3 linked regions of the Astyanax mexicanus genome follow. The protein of the gene in region 2 purifies or fractionates together with the protein of the main gene of each other region. This does not show direct contact. Links are inferred from orthologs where the notes say so. Each region holds a gene or a part of one and is shown on either strand. Other genes may lie near its edges.

Region 1 (7,556 bases), on a different chromosome or scaffold from region 2:
GCAGCAGTGGTGGTGTTGACAGCAGAGTTGGATTTAGGAGTCACCGGCACCATTTTTTCACAGAGTGTGATTTTGCCCAGCACTTTCAGGAGCTGCGGCTGATTGACACACGTATCAAACCACCTGCTTACGTTCACCAGGGTCTTCCTGTCTGATGGCTCCAATGCCTGAGAGAGCGTGAGAGAGGAACATGAGCATAAATATCACGCAGGGCCAATCACACCTTCAAACAAACCATCAAAACCTGACATTCAAGAAAAGTTTAGCAAAGAAAAACAACTAAACGGGACTGACTACTGACACCAGATGCAATCAATCAACATCATTCAAGACATGTTTGATATTTCTGTTGTCCTCCTCCTTTTAATTAGAGATATAAATAAGAAAGCATACATTTGTCATAAATATAATACACCTCCTTCTCTGTGTCAACTTTCTCATCACACAAAATAGTGATTTCTACACTGGCTCTATTGGGGTTCTGTATTGCCAGTTGAATGAGGAAATAAGGGGAACAGAACACTCAAGACCAATATATGAATGAACGAATGACCAGAGCTCCAAAACGGGCTATCAGCATGACTAAATACCACTTACATATTTAAAAGGCAGCAGCGCAGCCATTGCAACAGCTACATCAGCCAGAGACAAGCTCTCTCCAACCAGGAAGGTCCGCGGCTCTAAAATCTGATCCAGAACCTTCAAAACACGCAACAGCTCCGCCCGAGAACTCTGCTGCAACTGGAAGATAAGGAAATACATATTAAACATATAGACAACAGAATTATTCTATTTCTACATGCTCAAGAAAAGGCTTCTTAATGATTGTTTAAAAAAAAACAAAAAAACGTTTATTTGCTTTTATTGAAGTCCCTACTGTGGCTTTTTTTTGCCCAACTTATCCCAATACTATTGGATGGAGCTCCATAATTCCACAGTTTTACTTTGTTCCTCCCCCGTATCTATCTGTCGTGCTCGGTGTGACTTTAGTTTCCACCTGTTCTCGTTTTTCTGCCTGTTCTTGGGCTCCCTATCTTCTTATAAGGAAGTTTTTCCCCCACCATGTCTCAATTCACTAGCCGGGGCAACAGTAGTGTATTGTCCTGTGACCCTGACACTAAGTGTTGATTATTTAAATTTGTTGACTATAAATTTAATTGTCGACTAATTGTTAATTTGCAACAGTCCTGCATTAAACAAAATGCTAGGGACAAAATCGCAATGGGAGATGGGTAAAAGGCTTACTCACACAAGTTACACTTACACTTATTCTGACTCCAAAAGTGCCCAAACACCACATATTACATATTAACTCACTAAATATCAGAACATTTCGCGTTTAAAATTATTAAAAAAAAACAATCATTTAAAAAAAACTTAAAGGACAATTTGGATGTGTTTTTTTCTTTTTTTACTGCACTGTCAAAGTATTGGATCAGGACTCGGTATCGACAGATGCTTAAAATTTAATGAATCAGTCTCAGGGGCAAAAAAATGTGATCGGGACATCCCATATGGACAAGCACCTTTTTGTCGACTCCCATCACCCCCAACAGAGGGAAGACCACGGCACATGCCACAGGTGTGAGCTCATTCTCAGCAAAGCTCAGCCACTGCCACACCTCGCTCTGCTGCTGGGCATCGCTGCCCGTCCTCCCGCCCACAGATGCCAGGTACCAGCTGACCGCTCCGGCTCCGCACAGTGCCGTCGCCTCGGCGTCCCGCAGCACCAGGGCAGGGCGACATCGAGCTACTCTGGCTGGGGGCTCCTCTGCGAGGGTCTGCGGGCGGGATGGGGAGAATTCAGCTGCAATAAGGGCCTGCAAACTCCTAAAGTCATCAGGGTGGGAGGACACGTACAGGGAGTCCATCTCTAGAGAGAGAGTGAAAAAGAGAAAGAGAGAGAGAGTGTATGAATATGAATGACTAGACAGGCCAAAATAACTGAGACATCAAAACATTTAGCAGTAAAACACTGCACTGACTTTGGACTTAATATAATACAGTATGGATATATGGATATAATACAGTCTTGAGAAATAAAAGTGTGTATTAATCGTCTGAAAACTTGGTAGGTTCTGGAATTTTTAACATGGACAGGATTCAGTGTAGTGGCTAAAGCATGGAATAAATTGCATATCAATACACATCAATACAAATTATAACAGCATTTGTGTAACATTCATGTTTTTTTTTCTCTTTTGTGTTACAACGGCAAAATCATTTTAACATCAAATATCCTAATGCATACTGCAAATATTGGACATATAAGTATGCATACTGTCATTGCAAAGATACCATGAAATTTGGTGATATTATATAGCGGTAATATATGTTTTGTTGGAGTAGTGTAGGACTGTCGCAATAATTACATTATCAATTTATCGTATAATAAATGGACATGACCTCAATAATATTTGAAATCGTGACAGACTATTGTGTTTGTATATTTAACGATATTAACAGTATTTTAGCCAGTCATGCAGTGACCAATGTGGACATAAGTATGTAAATTAAAAGTATATATTTCCCAATCTAAAATGTCTTAAAATGACAAGAATATTGTTTAATATTGTTTATCTTAATAATTTCTGGCACAATATATCTTCCAAAATTAGTTTTTAATTTTGACAGGTCTACAGTGGTGTATTGTTGAATTTATATATTTTTTTTATTTCAATGTTTTGTTATATTGCAAAGGATATTGTTTTTGTAAACACCTTTGAGAAATATTGTGATATTATTTTAGGGCCATATTGTCTGTACCTAAATGTGAATTTAATTGCCCAGCCCTGTAAACTGTGTCTTGTAAAACTATTCATTTCAAAGTATTGTGATAGCTAAACTAGCTAACATTTATCCCATATTGTCCACCACTAAACTGAGACAGAAAACAGAAAGACTAGCCAATAAATGCCTATTTCTGCTCACTCAGCTGCTTGTCTAAATCAAGATTTTACACCTTGGGTGAAAAAGTACTGCATTGTCAAGATAAGAGTTAAGAAAGTGCTAAGCTAGCTACAAAAAAAAAAATCAACATTTGCCAGCTTCTTCTAGGAATGGTCCGTTCCACCTTAAATACATCAGCTGTAACATAGAGGCGCCGGTCAGGAGCTGTACGTAACTGCTGCAGAATTTAAGGTGGACCGGAAAATTACAACAAGACAACTTAAGCTCCCCAAAAGCTAACAGGCTAGCTTGTTCTTATTCATGTACACTCTTTAATATCGATATTCCAAACAAACAAAACAGCGAGTGAAGTCCCACACTCGTCTTATTCAGTAAAACAGGCCAAACTGAAGCTGAAACCGGTATAAATTAAGGAAATTTAAGGGCAGAAGTAGCACGGGGAAGTGATGACAGGGGGTTACTGTGCTAAACTTCGCTCTCCGCTGCCGCCGGTCAGTCAGACAGGGTTAAAAAAGAGGTCTAGACGTTTCTGAAGGGAACAGGCGGCGTGTTATCACGATTTAACGTCATTTTAAAGCAAAAAAGGATAAAATATTAACAACATAACCAACACGCTCCCACTCACCGCAACAGCGTACAGTCAGCCTTAATCCCGCGTGCGCCAGGCGCGTAGAGTAGCAACGGGCTCTGCCGCAAAGCTGCGGCTAGTGCCGTAAAAACGAAAGTAGTCTGATGCAACCAGACATGCTAATAATAATAATGGAGAATAATAAAGAATGATGGATAATAATGGAGAATGATGGAATATGATGAAGAATGGTGGAGAATAATAGAGAATGACGGAGAATGGTGAAAAATAAATAAGAATAATGGAAAATTATGGAAAATAAGATAGAGAATGATAGAGAATGATGGATAATGATTTAAAATATTTGAAAAAAAATAGAGAATGATGGAGAATAATGGAGAATGATGGAACATGATGGAGAACAACAGAGAATAATGGAGATCGATAGTAACAATGGACAATGATTGATATGTATATATACCAAGTCCTGATCTGATACTTTATCAATATAGAAGCTTAAACTGCGGTAATTAAGTGGAATTTGATGATAAAATAGCCCGGCTGGGCTTTGTTAAAAATCCTTTGCAGGCGATGATTGCCTTAAGTCTGGAACATATGGATATCACCAAACACTAGGTTTTCTCCTTTTATGATGCTTTGCCAGGCCTTTACTGCACCTGATTTTACTTCTGGGATGCTTTAGCAGTATGTTTTAGGTCACTGTCCATCTGTACTGTTAAGTGTCTTCCAATCAACCTCACTGTATTGGTTAAATTTGAGCAAATTAAATCCCTGTAACTTTAGAATTCATCCTTCTGCTTCTATTCTGTCACATCATCAATACATACTAGTGATCCGATGCCACTGGAAGCCAGGCATGCCCATACTACCACCACCATGTTTTACAGGTAACATGGTGAGCTTTGTATCGAGCCATTCCAAGCCTTCTCCATACTTAAATGGTCTCAAAAGTCTCATAAGTGACACTGTTGCAAATTGACAGGCAAAATAATAAGGCCATTAAAGCCACATCCAAGGGTAAACAGAGCCATCTAGTGTACCGACTTCAACACTGAACACTAAAACAATGTTCCTCTGCTGATCTTTTGCAGAATTTGGAACTGGAAATAAGAGTTTTGAATCTGGATCATGAAAAACAGGACTCTGGTAGAGCTAGAAAATCATTTAAAATTTTAGACTTTTGGCTTGCAAAAGCATTTTAGTACTTAAGTACACAGTAGTGAAGTAAAAATAATACTCCAGTAGAAACAGATACAGTATTTTACTACTTATATACACAACAGTAAAGTAAAAATAATACTCCAGTATATACAGATACAGTATTTAAGTACTTAAGTACACAGTAGTGGAATAAAAATAATAATCCAGAAGATATAGATATAGTAATTTAGTACTTAAGTACACAGTAGTGAAGTGACAATAATACTCCAGTAGATACAGATACAGCGTTATTTTAGTACTTAAGTACACAGTAGTGAAGTAAAAATAATAATCCAGTAGATACAGATACAATATTTTAATACTTAAGTACAGTAGTGAAGTAAAAAATTATATTCCAGTAGATGCAGATACATAATTATTTTAGTACTTGCATGAAGATACAGCATTTTAGTACTTAAGTACTGAGTAGGGAAGTAAAAATAATACTCCAGTATATACAGATACAGTATTTTAATGCTTAAGTACAATAGTGAAATAAAAATAATACTTCAGTGGATATAGAATTTTAGTACTTAAGTACAGTTGTGAAGTAAAAATAATACTCCAGTAGATAGATATACAGCATGTTAGTACTCGAGTATAGTAGTGAAATAAAAATATAACTCCAGTTGATCCAGATACAGTATTATTTTAGTACTTAAGTACACAGTAGTAGTGAAGTAAAAATAATACTCCAGTAGATACAGTGACAACATTTTAGTACTTAAATACACAGTAGTGAAGTAGTTCAATACCTCTGGTATTATTAAATCTTGTATTTATATATTTGTATTTGTATTTATATGTTATGATTAGCTTAACCTCCTGAACCTCTGCCTTTGTTGCTAGGCGTCGAGCATGACGTAGCAAAGCTGCTACTTCCTCCTCCGGATGGGATGGGTCGTTTTTTTTTAGGACCTGTTTTTAGGGAGGCTCCGCCTTCCTGTCTTGTGATTGGCTGGTGCTGTTTCGCTTTCTGCGCTTGGATTGGCTGTAGCTTCACACTTGCCATTGAGCCGTGCATTTCTGGCCAATCTCTGTGGAGGGGGCGGGGTTTTGTCGGAATACGGGTGGGAAATGGAACAAGGCGCCGGGATGCTGAGGCTGAGGCTGGATGTGGTCGGAACGGAATATTAGGATATTTATTTAAACGTTTAAACGACATACAGCGAGCAAATACAGACGGAAAAGCAACGGTACAGTGCATTTACGTGTTATCGTGTGTTAAATACGGGTTAAATACTGCGGTTTTAGGGGTTTGGTTGTAGAGCTGTTGTGGCGCATCACATCTAAAATCAGATTCCCACAGTCTGCTAAAGAGAACAAAGACTAACTCATATAAACCTCAAATATTATCTCAAATATATTAAATACATATGATCTAAAAACAGATCGTGGTTCATTTCCATTTTCATTTCATTTTTAGCTCACTATTAATCATTTTTATGTTTTTCTTTGTCGGTCTTTTGTCAGTATGACTTTTTTCATCTCTTTTGTTCACCATCACTTCATTCTCAGCAGCTGATTACATCTGTTTTTTTTTTTCAGAAAGTTTATAAATGTTTCTCTTTTATTTTAATTTTAATTTAGTAAAAAAAAATAACAGCTTAACAGTCGTAATTGTAACTGTTTTCTACACTATATATATATATATATATATGATATTTGTATAGTTTTTTGTGTTTTATAGTGTAATATGTATAATAAATATAGTCACCCAGCCAGCAGCCATAGGCCTTAAAGGAGAAATTGAATACAGCTCTGGAAAAAAAAATTAAGAGACCACTTAAAAAAATATTTGATTTTCTTTGATTTTACCAACTTGAAAACCTCTGGTTTTTACACCAGGAATGGCATAAAGTTATCCAAAAGCAGTGTGTAAGACTGGTGGAGAAGAACATGCCAAGATGCATGAAAACTGTGATTAGAAAAAAAGCAGGGTTATTCCAACAAATATTGATTTCTGAACTCTTAAAACTTTAAGAATATGTCTGAAAGCTCTACATCTTTTTTGTTATTTCAGCCATTTCTCATTTTCTGTAAATAAATGCTCTAAATGACCATATTTTTATTTGGAATTTGGAAATTGGATTTTACTCAAAAATATACCTATAAATAGCTAAATCTGAGAAACTGACTCAGAAATTTGACTTACACTACATTACATTGGAAGAACTTTACTGCTGCTGATTTTAGTTGCTGGTTGTTTATGGGTCTTTCTGGCTTCAGCTTTCTCTACAGTAAGTGAAAAGCATGGTCTGTTGGCTTGAGGTAATTGAAGAACGTTTTATTTATTTTCCTTAAGATTCTCTTGGGCTGCTTTTGCGGTATTCTTGGGCCATTATCCAATTCTGCTGTGAAGCACCATCCTATATCAGTTGTGCAACGGCTTCTAAATCTGAGCAGAACTTTTGGGTGTATATAAGAGCTGCCAGTGATTAACTTAACTTAACATGTTTTCTTAATATCTGATCATGTTTTGATGAGTTTCGACGGAAAATATAATACTTAATGGTCCTTAAAAGAAATCGATGGATTGAAGATCAAAATTCAGAATTCAAATAATTAGATTAATTAATATTAATAATTAATAAGAGGCTTTTCTTAAACATGAACATGATTCTCTGTTCATCTGTGTTTAGTTGGTCACTACTAACTAGAGCTGCTCTGAAAAAAAGAGACAAAGTAAAATGAACATTGTTGTTTTATTCTATAAACTATGGACAACATTTCTCCCAAATTCCGAATAAAAATATTGTCATTTAGAGCATTTATTTGCAGAAAATGAGAAATGGCTGAAATAACAAAAAAGATGCAGAGCTTTCAAACCTCAAATAATGGAACTTAATCATAAAGT
Region 2 (7,556 bases):
CTCTATATTAATCTACACAGATTTCTCTCCTGAAAACTGTTTATTTGGGTAAGTAAAGTGCTTTCATTTATTTACAGTAAGCTTAAATTTCCAGATTTCCACTAAGGCTATCCAGACAGCACAACACTGAGCAACCCTGAGTGTTCCAGTAAGCCAGGGCGATATTAGTTAGCAGTTCATCCCACATAGCTTGTTTTATCATGGTGAAGAGAAAGGCTACAGTCTGATGCACTCACCTCTGAACGCAGAAACAGCTAAGTAGTGCTTAGCGTGATTAGCGAGTAATGCTATTGTTGATCTGGCAGTTTTAGCCGGGGTTAGCAGCAGGCTACGGTCCGAAATACTTGCCTCTAAACCACGAGAGAGCTAATTAGCTCTTAGCGCAGTAAGTGGGTAATGCTAATGCTATCTGGAGTTAGGAGCAGGCGACAGGCTGATAATACTACCTCTGAAAGGCGAAAGAGCTAGCGCTTAGCACGGTTAGCAGCTAATGCTTATACTGATCCAGTCTCGAGTCTTGCTCGGGTGCTGGGGAACTAAAATATAGAATTAAACTATAACGCTGCACTTCAGTAGAGTGGCTTTACTGCTCCTTACAACCTGACTGGTACAATTCACACACTGACGATTTTTGGGAAAATTAAAGAATTTTTAAATGCGTCTTATAGTGCAGAAAATATAACAAGTCCTGCAGGAACTATACACATAAGCCAAAATATTATGATCACCTGCCAAATATGCAAATGTTCATAAACCGCCCACTCTGCAAGACCTATGAAGGTGCCCTGTTGTATCTGGCTTCAATAAATTAGCATCTGATCCTTTTTACTTTGTTTAACTAAGTTGTGAATTACATCAGCTATATCAGATATATTCAGTCATGGCCGAAGTTTTTGTGCCCCCCTGAAGTATTTCTCACTGAAAACGATTGCAGCTACACATATTTTGTTATGTCCATTTTTAATTCCTTTGTGTATACTGCAAGACAACATAAAATCTAAAATTAACAAAGGATTTTGGGTCGCAATGTAGGGCCCAGTGTCAGACAGCTGACTTTGCCTCCTTGGTCTTGGGCCTTCCAACAGGACAATGACCCTAAACATACTTTAAAAAGCACCCAGAGATAGATGAGAAAAAAGTGCTAGAGAGTTCTGAAGCTGCCAGCAATTAGTCCAGATCTAAATCCTATTGAACACCTGTGGATAGGTCTTAAAATCCCTTCATATTTAAGAGACCTGGAGCATTTTGCAAACGAAGAGTGGTCCAAAATTTTAGAGGTTTAGAGGTGTAAGAAGCTTATTGATGGTTATAGGAAGCAATTTTCCAAAGTTTGTGCAATCAAAAATTTTAATTGAGGCTGCCAGTAATTTTGTCTGGTGTTTATATACAGAAATTATATACATTTTTGGCTTTCTCAGTTTTCTGTGCTGTTCCAATACACACGAATGAAAGTATACATGTATATAAACAAAACATGTAATTGCAATAAAATTCTGGGAGAAATACTTAATTTTGCCAGTCACTTTCATGACTATATGATGTGGATGCAGTGCATCCCATGATAAAAACAAGTACTTGTGCCTTGACACAGGACCATAAATTGAAAAGCATCTTAGGAGTACACAATTTATCACAATGCTCTGAACACAGAAACAGCTAACTAGCGCTTAGCGTGGTTAGCAAGTAATGCTAATGTTGCTCTGGCAGTTCTAGCCGGGGTTAGCAGCAGGCTACGGTCCGAAATACTTACCTCTAAAACACGAAAGAGCTAATTAGCGCTTAGCTCAGTTAGTGGGTAATGTTAATGCTATCTGGAGCAGGCTACAGGCTGATAATACTACCTCTGAAAGGCGATAGAGCTAGTGCTTAGCACAGTTAGCAGGTAATGCTAATGCTGCTCCAGCAGTGAATTTGCAATGAGATTGCAAGTTCAATCCTTGGTCATACCACAACCATCCAGCCAAGAGAGTCCAAAAAAGAAAAATTGGCTTTGCTGTCTCTCCATCCATCATTCAGCTAAACGCAAGTGCAGGCATCTGTTAGCTGACATTACAGAACAGCTGTTAGTGTTCTCCTGCAAGTAAGTTCAGCTGCTAAATGACTGCAGACAGCAGATTAAATACAGCTTTATTTACAGTATATATCTGCAGAACTGGAGACAAAGGGGCCTTTCAGCAGACACTGACCTATAACACTAATATGTCCAAGGCCTGATGTTTCAGCCTTTGCCTGGAAAATATCGATATGTGATGCAGCTTTACCTGGGAAGTCCCTGTGATCATGTTCTTGATAAAATCTCTGTGACCTGGAGCATCTATGATGGTAATGTAGTATTTAGAAGTCTCAAATTTCCAGAGAGAGATGTCTATGGTGATGCCTCTCTCTCGCTCTGCCTTTAGCTTGTCCAATACCCAGGCATACTTAAAGGATCCTTTCCCCATCTGGACAGCAGACAAAAAATTGGAAAGTTTAAATTCAATAAGCATTTCTATTATATTATGAAAATCCTATGATAAAAGGTTTTTGTGCAACAGTGACAAGAAGAGAAAGTTTAAAGAAACAAATATCATTCTACAGTAGTAAACATTTGTTTAGCATATCTGTATTAATGTAATGCTGAGCATCATCCGTCATTTTAAAAGCTTTATATGTTTGAGATTTCCATTTTAACATTAATTTTAGTTTTTTTTTTTTATATCATATATTCAACTTGATCAAGGAAAAATGTTAAATTCTAATGGCTGTACTTGTGATTTTATCATTCAGCCAAAATCGTCATTGAACTTCTATACATTTTAGGTTTGTTTTTTTGTTGTTGTTTTTTTAATAGATGAACAGATTTTACCAGTATGAACTCGTCTGGTTTCTCAAAAAAAATCCTGAAGAATTTGATCCCTGATTAATCCAGAATTAGGTTTAATTCTCCTCTGGAAAACTAATTCTAACATCCTAATAATGTACTAATGAATACACAATCAAATAATAAGTTTTTTTTTTCCATTTTGACTACTTTCAAGAACCTTTTACATATGAAGAACTTTGTGATAAATACCCTTTTTTGATCTAATCAATACAAATAATTTACCATAGAAATGATTTTATTTACAGCTACAAAAACACTCCAGATTATCAATTTCTGATTGATTAAAAAAACAGTGTTTTAACAAAATGTTGATAAAAGGACATTTAGAAAGCAATATAATTTCAAATAAATCAAAACATGGTCAAATTAATACATATCTAAATTCTGAAATGTACATGTCTAATTAAGAGTATTTGAGTATCCTATGAACTATATGGGATGTAAATAATATAATCTTGTGTATGTATGACTGTCTTCTATAAACGAATAAATGCATAAAGGTATGACATACTATTAAAACACCCCACAAAACAAGGATTTAAACTTTTTAAGTTTTTAAGTCAGTTTTACGACACTCTGTCTGCCTGAAAATCCAATCATATATATTATAACTGACTTCTTTTTATTAGTAATGGCATTCTTTGGATATTTTGTATATATTTTGTTTTGCTCTTGCCTGTACAGAAACATGTTAACTGAAACATGTAATAGATCATCCTATAAATCATTTTTTACAGGTAGACACTCAGAAACTTTTTAAAGCACAAATTGCATGCCAAACCAGGGAGTGGTCTGGAGTTAAATAATACAGACTATATACACAGTGTTCCTATGTATCACAAACCAGCACAAACATGCCCATGAAAACACTGGTTGACTATTTTTTTTCAAACCAGGAATGCCAGTTCAAATACACAACCTATTGTTTTCTTTCTATATTCATTACTTTCAGTTTTCATCTCCAAGCCTGAAAACTTAGTAGGGCTACCACAGTAAACATAGAAGCTTCTGGAAAGTTAATATCTGTCTGTACCTCTGCAGCCTCCTTCTCAAATTTCTCGATGGTTCTCTTGTCAATGCCTCCACACTTATAGATGAGGTGACCGGTGGTGGTGGACTTCCCAGAGTCCACATGGCCAATCACAACAATATTAATGTGGATCTTTTCCTTCCCCATGATGAACAGAACACAGAGGGAAAGAAGAGAGAATGTTCCCACCCAGGGTTCCCCTGCTCTTCACAGACAGAATAAACAGCATTGCAGATTCATTATAAAACAAGATTAAAGCAGATTAATAAACTGTATCTAAACGTTTACATAAAGGAAATGTGATAAATGAATAGATATTAAAAAAAATATAGAAGAAGAAAAAAAATAAACAAACAAACACTCAGAGAAAGGCCGGAGAAACTACCTATAATGAATTCTGACTGCAGTGTAAACAGAAGCATAAACATAAACAGACAGATAGATGTCTTTGGGGTCTTACCTGCTGTAGCTGTGTGTTCAGGCAGCACAGCGTGTTCCCTCTGAACACCCTCTTTCTTCCTTAGCACTCCAACACAGGGGGGGTGGCAGGCTCTAAATCTGTCTGCGTAGTGAACGCACCCCACTTTGATACAGCAATGCGGCACTTTATGTGGGGAGGGAGGAGGGTAGGAGGGGGAGACAGAAGAGAGAGAGAGACAGAGGGAGACGAGAGAGATGCTGAAGCAGGGGATCTGCAAAGGCAGCAAGAGAAACCAAACAGAGAGGTGGGTGGGGGATGTATGCTGGGATGAAAGTTAGGAGAAAGGGAAGAAAAGGATGGGAGAAAACTCCAGCATCACACTGCAAGCCTGAGTGACTCAGCACATTCCTAAAGATTCCCTTGAGATTTAGAACATGTGTAATCATAATCATCAGGACTAAATCATAATACTGTGAGTTCCTCACATCTGTGGAAATCTGGCTGACACAATAGAATAGAATTAAGCATTTCAAGTTTTTATATATAAATACAGAGCGCTGGAAAAAGCAAAAGAGCACTACGTGTCTGAATCAATCAGTTACAAATACAAATATTGTCATTTAGAGCATTCATTTGCAAAAAATGAGAAATGGCTGAAATAACATAAAAAGGTGCAGAGCTTTCAGTCCTCAAACAATGCAAAGAAAACAAGTTCACATTCATAAAGTTTTAAGAGTTCAGAAATCAATATTTGGTGGAATAACCCTTGATTTTAATCACAGTTTGCATGCATCTTGCAATGTTCTCCTCCACCAGTCTTACACACTGCTTTTGGATAACTTTCTGCCACTCCTAGTCCAAAAACTCAGACAGATCATCCGTCTTCCGCTTGATTATATTCCAGAGGTTTTTAATTTGGTAAAATCAACTCATCATTTTTACGTGGTCTCTTATTTTTTTCCTGAGCTGTATACACAGTCCAAGTAGAATATTATGACATTGTTTCTACGATCTTTGTCAGTCTTGTCAGCTGAAGTCTGCTGTTTACTACAGCCCATTTGTTTCTCTGCATTCAGTGTTATACTTCTTTCACCCTGGTGGGTCATCCTTCAGGCAGCTTTGCAGTGTTGTGCTGCAGGCATGAGTGGATCGGACACAGCAGTGCTGCTGGAGTTTTTAAACTCTTCACTTCTGGAATGAAATTAGTCCACCAACCGGAAACAGTAGCTGGGTAGCGATATCCAATAGAGTGGACAGTAAAAAAAAGCAGCACTGCAGTGTCTAATCCAACATATACTACATTAGAACAACATACACCAGCACACCACAGATGTTGGTGTAGAACCGGCACTGACAGGAAGGTCAATTTATAGTACAGACAGATAATGCCTCAACACACAGTGCAGTCATTCTTTTAAGTTGATCAAGTTTATTAAATTAAAGACAGAAAGATCCACCCAAAAGGCAACAGAAAGGCCTGGTAAAGCATCTTAGGGAGGCAACTCAGTATTTGGAACAATTTGGGCCAATTTATGAATGAATTAATGAGTCAGCGACTTGGGGAATAAGCCTAGTTTTAGAACATTGTGTTTACGAAAGAAAATCTCCATTCAAAATGGAATATACAAAAGGTTATGCAGCTTAATCCCTGTTGGGGCAACCCGCCCAGAAATGTCAAACACTCAAAACTTTGCAGGTCCTTTGAAGGTCTTCATGTCACCTTAATTTTTAGAGCAATAGGGTTGTAATGGTATGTGTCTTGGTACCAAACCACCATGCAATGGGGGTGCACAAGCCAAACGTCAACATAAAGATGCAATGCATGGGATTATGGGAACTGTAGTGGATTTAGGAGCATTGCTATTGTAACTGTATTTTTCTATACACTTGCTGTGTGCACAGAAGGATTTATTTGGTATTTTAACCTGCTTATTCCTCACCTTTCTCTGCGACATTCTGACCTTTTACCATCTAATTTGACATTATGATGGATCAGCCAAGGAGGAAGTAATTGTGATGCTGGACAGTGTGTGTGTGTGTGTGTGGAAAGACATTAAACATCCTTAATCCATTTTTTACTGCTAAATTAATACAGTACAGGCTGACAGACTGACTACCTCAAGCCAGACTATATAGCACTAGGCAGAACTAACTTCATAAGAACTAACATGATAAGAAACTAGAAACCTAGACTATATTTTATTTTTTTCTTTGTACTGAGCTTGTACGGAACAATGAGGTCCAACCTGTGGTACAAACTAAACCATGGTACAAACTAATCCATGAATTTTGTGTACCATTACACAAGCATACTGTAGACAGTGAGTGCGTTTACATGCACTTTATAATTCAATTATTATGATCAGTGTTTACATAAAGTTACTGTTAACAGTTACTGTAACAGATACTGTTAAAATTCATTAGTTTAAAAAAAGTAAAGCCATAATTAGATTTTTGCTTTGCAATCAACTCAAATTTACAAAATAACAGGTGATAAACATCATGTAAATCTTTATCATAAAAACATACAATAGATAGAAGATTAAGAATATTGAAATCTGTTTGGGTTCAGCATTGCGCAAATGTGTTTTGTCGTCATCTCACTGGAGATGTTTTAAAGCTGCTGGCTTATTTCTGGTACCACAAGTTTACATGCACTGAAAAATACAATTGCTGAGCAAAAATCCAGCTCTCTTTAACAGATGATAGCATCAGACTCAGACTCTAAGACCTCAGTTCTAAGAAATTAAAGTATACTGTTTATATGACTACTTCAATAATTCGATTTTAACTTCAGTAACCTATTATTGAACATGCATGTAAAAACACTCAGTGTCTTTAGGTTACAGATCAGTGAATCGCCTGGATCTGCACCAGCACCCATCAAAAAGCCTCTGCACCCATATCTTTCTTCCAAAACACAACATAACTCACGCTGATACTTAAGTACAGTCTGATTTAATAAAAGGCTTTGCACCTTTTAAAACAAGAGCAGTAAATAAATACAGTAAAACATTATGGTTGTAAAATCACATTTCACCTTAACATGTAATGTAACATCTTTATTACCAATGAATTTGACTTTTGAATTTGAACCGTCACAGATGGGAAAATAAAAATACTAGCTTTACTGTATGACGGACATAAATGACCACTAGGTATGATTCCTCAAACAGAGGCTGCATTTCTTTATGTACTAAGAATTCATCCCTATCTGACCAATGATGATGATACCATCATAG
Region 3 (7,556 bases), on a different chromosome or scaffold from region 2:
GCAGACAAATTAGCTAGCTATGTATTTAGCAAGTTACTTCAGCGAACAGCCAAAGTCTTACTCAGCAGGAATGGTAGTAAATAAGATTTCTGTGACTGACTGTGGGTAGCTAGCCTAGCTAATCATTAGTTAACTAACCAACCTCGGTGATCCGGCCTGCGGCACAGCCCAGTCGTTTTTACACTGATTAGCTAGGTTTGCTAACATAGCAAGCTGGCTTAGTTTATAATCACAGACGAACACATTTCCAAGGTTATCCCACTTCCCACAGGTTATATTTTCTCCAGACGCGGCGTTTATAAAGCACTAAACTGCGCACAAACTCAAAAATATTCAGGCTACCCACCTCCAGCTAACGCTAGCAAGCAAACTTAGCTCGAACTAGAGCAGCCGGACAGGCGGAGGTTAAGTTAGCAGGCTAGCATGTTAACGGCAGGCCTGGCGATTTATTCAATGGTGAAAATAATGTTAAACCGTAACAGCGACTGGCAGCAGAGGAAAGTCGCGCTGCAGCACTTACAGTGAAGTCATTATAGACACTGATAAACTGCGCTCTTCAGCTTTTTTCACCTGACTGAAAATGTTTCTCCATTCTGGTCCCGTCGGCACCCGTATTTGGCGCAGGGCTTCTCGTGTGACGTCAGAGCAAAGCGCGGGAACCCACCCTCTTTCCCAAAGTTAGGTGGTCTACATGTCACTCTTTATCCAAATATTTGATTTAAAAAAATAATAACGGGGGGGGGAACAAAAAAAAAAAAAACTTTAACAATTTTATAAAATGTCAGTACAATTCCCTCTGTTCAAAACCCAACTCCAAAGGAAGTTGAGGGTGCTGTACAAGATGTAGATTAAAAGGTCTTAAAAAAAAAAAAAAAAAATTATATATATATATATATTTTCACACACACACATAAAGTAAATAATGCAATGACTTGTGAATCTCACACCCATACAGTAAAAGTTTAAGGCTAATCCCTGGGGACATTTCAGAATGCAACAGGGGAACAGCTCCCTCCGCAAGCCTTTAGAAAACCATTTTCAGCAGGAATTTCCTCCCATCCCCCTTTGGTCAAGATGTGTACATTCAGAATAGAAGCATTTGAAATTATTTAAAAGTTTAGGAGCCTATTGAGTAATATATGATTATTGTGGAGTCGTGTTTCACAGTTTTATAGCAACACTAAAATGGAACCCAGGAGTATTAGTGCTAAGCATTCTCCCACCTTAGGGAGGCCATGTACCTTGGTTAATTGGTTGCATTTTGAACAGGGAAAATACATGCAAAGTTAGTGGTCTCCTCATACCAGAATGAACCCGATGCACTGCCTAAAAAATAAATTAAAACAATAGTTCACACTTCAAAATCAAATTGTTTTATTTCAAGTGCTTTTTGTGTAATGCTTTTTCCATGTTTCTAGATCTTGTTGAAGGCAGCAACGTCAACAGACTGTATGTGATCTTCAAAGGCAGTGATCAGTTCCTCCAGCTGATCTGTTCCTACTTTGTCATCTTCTACTACACACGCAATCTGCAGTTTCTTGATGCCGTAGCCAACAGGCACCAGTTTGGCTGTAGAGAAAGTGAAGACAAGTTTTTTTTAAAAATATGTCTAACTGACCATGCAGTTACTATTAAAATTGTGCAGCATCTTCATTTTTACATTTATAAAATAAGAATGCAAAAGAGCAGACTTACACTGGCCCCAAACCAAACCGTCCAGTTCAATGGATCGTACACATTCCTCAAGCTTGGCCATGTCTGTTTCATCGTCCCAGGGCTTGACGTCCAAAAGAATAGAGGACTTTGCAATAAGGGCTGGCTCTACAGAGACATTTAAAAAAAAAAAAAAAAAAAAGTTAGTTACAGGTGTATTAACACACCTGTATTTTGTACAAAAGGCAGCAAGATCACTGCACTTTGTTATAGGGTCACCCTGGCTGGGGAAAAAAAAAAAAGGTGTGTGTATATATATATATACACACACACACACACATATATATATATATATAAAAAAATAATAAAAATCCTTCTTACAATTCATAGCAGGATGAACTTTAACCTACAAGAACATGCCTATACATATGCCTACAATTTACACTGCAATGTATTACAAGTTTGCTACAGTAATGTTACTCATCACTAAACTGTATCTGCTCCCATTACTTCAAATACCAAAATACATCCTTTGTAAACTATTCAGGCATATACATAAAATACATAAATATTAGAGTCATGCCTCACATTTAAATTTATGTTTAAAAAAATAGATCAATTAAATGCAAGGTTTAGACCAATGTGCCCTTTTAACCCAAACAGCTGAGTGTCATACTTTTGGACTTCTTTGCATTGTAGGCTGCCAGTCTCTCCTCCTTGATCCTTGCAGTCTCTTCATCCTTAGAATGGAAAGAAAAGAGAGAGAACAAACCCACACATTAGTAAGGTAAAGCAGTAAAATTTGGACAGACATTTTCTTAATTCTGGTAATCAGGTAAAAGAAAAGATCCATCACAACTTCAGTCGAAAGATGGTGAAAAAGTATTCATCACACAACCAGTAGACAGTTACAGAGTGAACATCTTGAAATGATTCAAAACAAACCTCTTCCTCATCAGAGCCGAACAGATCAATGTCATCATCGTCGTCATCGTTAGCAGGAGCGGCTCCGCCAGTAGTGTCTTCCACTCCAGCAGGTCCGTACTGACCCAGGGGCTTCTTCACTCCAGGGAGGCTGAAACAGTCAGAGGCAGAGTACAGTTAGTTCTACAGGCATGCAGGCACATCACCACTAGTCTAACTGTCTCTCAGGGACATCAGTGTTTAAAAGATTGTGCATCATCTTGTCAGGCGAAAGATGGTGAAAAAACTCATCATGTGCTGAGAATCATAAACTTGCATGATGCATTGTTGCTTTTAGTTACCTGGCCTTCTCTTTTTGGTAGGACTTGATGTGGTTGTACCAGCGAAGAGCGTGGCATAGGTCAGTTGGGGGGGCACCAGACAAGGCATCAAACACAGCAACATCAGCCTGTGATGGGACATACCTGTGGGACAAAAAAAGAAAGACTCACATTTTAGGCAGACATACATGCTTGAAAGAAAAAAAAAAAAAAAAAAGGACATGCTGGCTTTCTCGTTTCCCTTCAGAGTGCACAACTTAAGCCATTAAAGTATGGCTTTCACACTAGGGCTGCACAAAATACCATTTCAGAATCACCATCACAACGTACACACGCATAATAATATTCACAATACTATAGCATGCAGGCGCAGTGTGAGATTATTTTATAACATTTTAGCACCACCACATGCATATTGAGCTGCAGTTGACAACCCTGAACAAGTTTAAAAAAAATAGCGCTCTGCTCCGTTTTAAAGAGGGAAATTACTACAATTATTAAAATTGTAATTTTTATTTAACATAACGAAAAAGGGGGCATAAACAATTCATAACACCTACCCAAACAATTCCAACTCAGTCAATTTACAAGCTAAAAACGCACTTTTCGACCACGAAAAATCTAAAAGATATATAATAAAAATTAAATCAGCTCTGAACATCCACAAGCTTCTTCAGAGGTGTATTAAACTTTTCAGACTTCAAGACGTGACACAGTTTTAACACGTAGGCGGTTACAGATCAGGCCACGCAGACAGAAGAACAGCCGAACTTAGCTTAGCTGCTGAAGACAAAAGGCCGAATACATTCCTTACAAGACAGCTGTATAATTTAGATAGCTACATATCTAGATAAACTAATAGACTACATCGCGCCAGGTTGCAGCTAACATTAAATTTATTAGTAATTTATTAGTAGTAACTGGAGGGCCAGCACCACATACAACCACATGGAGAGTAACGTAGCTAGCCTAGTTAACTTAGCTTAGCCACTTAGCTAACCTTGCTAACGAATTAACTTCTCATCAAATTCGTCCAAAACCTGTTCCTAAAACGTACTCACCCCTCAATATAGCTTTTGTCAGCCAGAAACTCATTCAGAACCTTAAGGCCGGCGGGGGTTTTGAGATCACCGAAGCCCATTGTAAGATAGTTAGGAAAGCCGGTCGGTAGACGTCTGGCTCTTAGCTTGAAGGAAACGCGAAGGAATGAGAAAGTGCTGTGTAAAAGACTTTATACCGCCTGAGACTCCTCCCTCTCCTCCTGCTTCTGCTACAGACCCGTTCTCACTGTTTAGGACCTTTTTTGTTCAAATAACCAAAATAACAAACTATCTAGAATATAGACTAATATATATAATTATATATAATTATTTAAAAAAGCTACCTCATTATTTTGAGGTAAGTCATTATTTTGACATACTAAATTATTTTAAGATACTAAGGGGTTATTTTGACATACTAGTTATCTATATACTTTGACATACTTTATCGATATTTTGTAATAAAGAATATTTTTAATAAATCATTATTTTGACATACTAAATTGGTAATTGTGCGATACTTCTTCATTATAAGACAGTAAGCCATTATTTTGACATGCAAATTTGTTATTTTGACATAAGTCTCTAAATCTTTTTTTGCATGCCTTTTTTGTGTCAGTTTTTTGTTACATAGATAGAAAAATAATACATGCACCTAAAATTATAACAATAATAAATAAAATATGATGACATTTAAGGTATAAAATATAGATAAACTATGGATAGGAATTAAACTAAATAAATAATAAAATGCAAATATTACGCAATAATAATAATAATAATAATAATAATAATAATAATAATAATAATAATAATAATAATAATAATAATAATAATAATAAAAAACACAATCAAGTAATACTTTGATAAGATTTTAGATTTTTTTATTTTTGGTGTCTCATGAAAGAAAAACAGAAACGGATGTGACGTAATGGGTTATGGCAAAAGCGAAAAAAATATTGTGTAGCATTATATATTTTAACTGAAATATATGTTTTAGTTACATTCTAATTTTACTTAATAAAATAGCTCCGTTTATTGTTTAATAATTGGAATATATACAATATATTTTTGGGTCGTTTTCTCTTATCGAACTACTTCGGCTATTTCCGTCAGCACAGCCGAAGTCCTCCGAAAACTCCTGCGTAACTGGACGCTCTGACTACAGTTCCGCTGTTCTGGTCTAGAAGGCCAAATAGCGCCAAGGTGAGTAAAAACTACATGAGTTTAGCTTTCTTTAGAGGCTGTAAGATGTTTGAGCTTGTAGTTTATGTATATCTGAAAGGGAAAAGGCTCAGTGAACTCGCAGAACTGTAAATAGAGAAAATGTTCCCCCTGTCCTTGGTTTGACCAGCAGTGCAGCGTTAGCTACTGCTAACGTTAGCTTCTCCGCTAACGTAACCTGTCTCTACCAAACGCTCACATTCTGTTAGTGGCTCCAGGATTTCTACAGGCTGTGATTTACACTTTCTCTGTGGTCTTCAGGATTGACTGTACCACGGTTCTCTTCTTAACATGCACTTTATTCGTTTTAATTATTATTGTTTACAACCCATGGCCATGTAGTTATGTAGGTTAGCTAGTCAGTTTAGCTGAAAGTGTCTCACAGCTGGTTTTACTGCCTGCATAAAGTCACAGCTTATAGTACCAGCTAGATGTGTTAAACTAAAAATCTACATATATGAGTTTATTGTATATGTGTTTGTTTTATCGTCCATCTTAGTTCACACAGCTGTTGCAAGTGGTGTTCATATCCTAATGTTCGGGATAATATAGCTAGCTGAATTAGACACAACTGCAGCCCTTGACCTACGGAGACCCTGAAGTGTCAAGTTAGAAATTCAGTATTTACAAGCTAAAACTGTTCCCTTTTAAATACGACATTGTTCCCTCATCGAATAAAATGTACCGTGGATTATACAGGTCGTTCCCTCAGTTATCATTTCTGTACTGTTTAAATTTAGTGTACATATCTTTTCTTCACTCCTTATAACGTCTATATTATTATATTAATATATATGACTACATCAATTAACAGTACTTAGAACAGTAATAAACATTGATAAAAGGTTAAATAACGTCTCCACTAGTTATTAATAGACACTAGTTAAGACATTGTTAAACATTCCATTTAAATGCAAAGAATTTTGTGAATGTTGTATTGTGAATGATTAACATTATTTTAACTAATAAATACACTCTTGCGAGTACTATTAATGTACGTTGTATCGTAAAATGTTAGCAATATCTCTGTGTTGTTGGTTTTATTGTTTTTGACATCTCTGCTCTTTTATGCTCTATATTTTATATATTTTTTCTTGTGTCTTCTGTGTTTTAAATTAGTGGGCAGTTGTTAAAGCATTTCGCATGCATACCAGTTGTGCCATGTATGACTATGTATGTGACAAACTTTGTAACTTAACTAAATTGTCCTCTCTAAGATGGTGTATTGAATATTACGTTGACAGAACAAATTGTTAAAATAACAGAATGATTTATAAAATGACAAGCAGTTTGTTAAATAGAAGGAATGGTTTATATTTCTAAATATATATATTTTTTGTCTTGATACTTTATATTGGCCTGTGTTTTATATATTATTAGTTATTTATATGTTTCATATTTTTTTCTGCAGTCATGTTGCGTTTTCCAGCAGTTGGCCGAGCCCTGGCTGGGGCTGCCCACTCCAAAGGGTGCCTCACCTCCTCTAGCAATGGTAAGCCTGTACATATGTCATATAAGTTGAAGAAGTGATGGCAGTAATTGTTGCTAATACAACTACTGTACTGACACACGCTGAAGTGTTCTGAATCTTAATAATTTGGTCCAGAGACATGATCTAAGTTAACTCTCTTTTTAAAGTTTTTAATATGTATGATGTCATTACAGGAGTAATGACCTGTGTAATCTATATCTAAATTTTCTTCCTGCATAACTGCAAGAAATGTGAAGCACTAACTGAGATATAACACAAATTACTTCTTGGTTACAGTGAGGACATCTGTTCGGGCCTCAAGTAATATGGTGGAAGTGTTTGTAGATGGAAAGCCTGTAATGGTGGAACCTGGGACCACTGTACTTCAGGTAATGACTTATAGTGTAAACACACAGTAGTCCTTATTGTTCAAAAATGTAATACATTTTATTGTTTTAACATTTTATTGTTTCTTAGCTGTTTTCCTTCTCTTGGAATTGGAATATTAACATTTTTATGAGAGCAAATTGGGCTGCAAAATATGGTTCAATTTGGTAGTGAATTATTAACAAGGAACCTTTGCACAATTGCTTACCACACTGCACATAAAACTTGTATATTCCTTCATGCACTTCATTTTAATCTTATTAATATGTTACTTTGTGTAATGACAGTAAATGTATTTAAACATGTAAGCCATCTTTAGTCTTTTAATTCTGTTTACTCAGGCTTGTGAAAAAGTTGGTGTGCAGATTCCTCGTTTCTGCTACCACGAACGCCTGTCTGTGGCAGGAAACTGCCGGATGTGTTTGGTGGAGATTGAGCGAGCGCCAAAGGTAATATTTTCTTAAGTCTTAAGGAAACTACTGTAGCATTTGCAGATATACTTAAGCAGACTCAGGGCATGCAATTGTCTAATCTACT

The links. The genes of interacting proteins can lie anywhere in the genome.
Region 1: the proteins of eef1a2 (region 2) and vars1 purify together in Homo sapiens (co-immunoprecipitation; 3 studies listed by BioGRID and IntAct, counting the BioPlex papers as one, with this or other methods). This does not show direct contact. The link is inferred for Astyanax mexicanus from reciprocal best matches to the Homo sapiens genes EEF1A2 and VARS1.
Region 3: the proteins of eef1a2 (region 2) and eef1b2 purify together in Homo sapiens (co-immunoprecipitation; 4 studies listed by BioGRID and IntAct, counting the BioPlex papers as one, with this or other methods). This does not show direct contact. The link is inferred for Astyanax mexicanus from reciprocal best matches to the Homo sapiens genes EEF1A2 and EEF1B2.

What each region holds. Positions count from the first base shown.
Region 1 is NC_064413.1:5,087,288-5,094,843, reverse strand, and holds the start of vars1 (valine--tRNA ligase), read right to left. Parts: upstream 3,608-7,556; 5' UTR 3,536-3,607; intron 1,874-3,535; 5' UTR 1,872-1,873; coding exon 1,527-1,871; intron 742-1,526; coding exon 598-741; intron 168-597; coding exon 1-167. UniProt on the Homo sapiens protein: Catalyzes the attachment of valine to tRNA(Val).
Region 2 is NC_064420.1:29,050,526-29,058,081, reverse strand, and holds the start of eef1a2 (elongation factor 1-alpha 2), read right to left. Parts: upstream 4,615-7,556; 5' UTR 4,354-4,614; intron 4,099-4,353; exon of another isoform or gene 4,094-4,098; 5' UTR 4,041-4,093; coding exon 3,897-4,040; intron 2,442-3,896; coding exon 2,262-2,441; intron 1-2,261. UniProt on the Homo sapiens protein: Translation elongation factor that catalyzes the GTP-dependent binding of aminoacyl-tRNA (aa-tRNA) to the A-site of ribosomes during the elongation phase of protein synthesis.
Region 3 is NC_064412.1:41,447,585-41,455,140, forward strand, and holds eef1b2 (elongation factor 1-beta), read right to left. Parts: upstream 4,115-7,556; 5' UTR 4,039-4,114; coding exon 3,959-4,038; intron 3,042-3,958; coding exon 2,919-3,041; intron 2,729-2,918; coding exon 2,599-2,728; intron 2,394-2,598; coding exon 2,330-2,393; intron 1,822-2,329; coding exon 1,696-1,821; intron 1,570-1,695; coding exon 1,415-1,569; 3' UTR 1,358-1,414; downstream 1-1,357. Other genes in the region: ndufs1 (NADH-ubiquinone oxidoreductase 75 kDa subunit, mitochondrial), read left to right, coding at 6,575-6,653, 6,930-7,021, 7,361-7,468. UniProt on the Homo sapiens protein: Catalytic subunit of the guanine nucleotide exchange factor (GEF) (eEF1B subcomplex) of the eukaryotic elongation factor 1 complex (eEF1).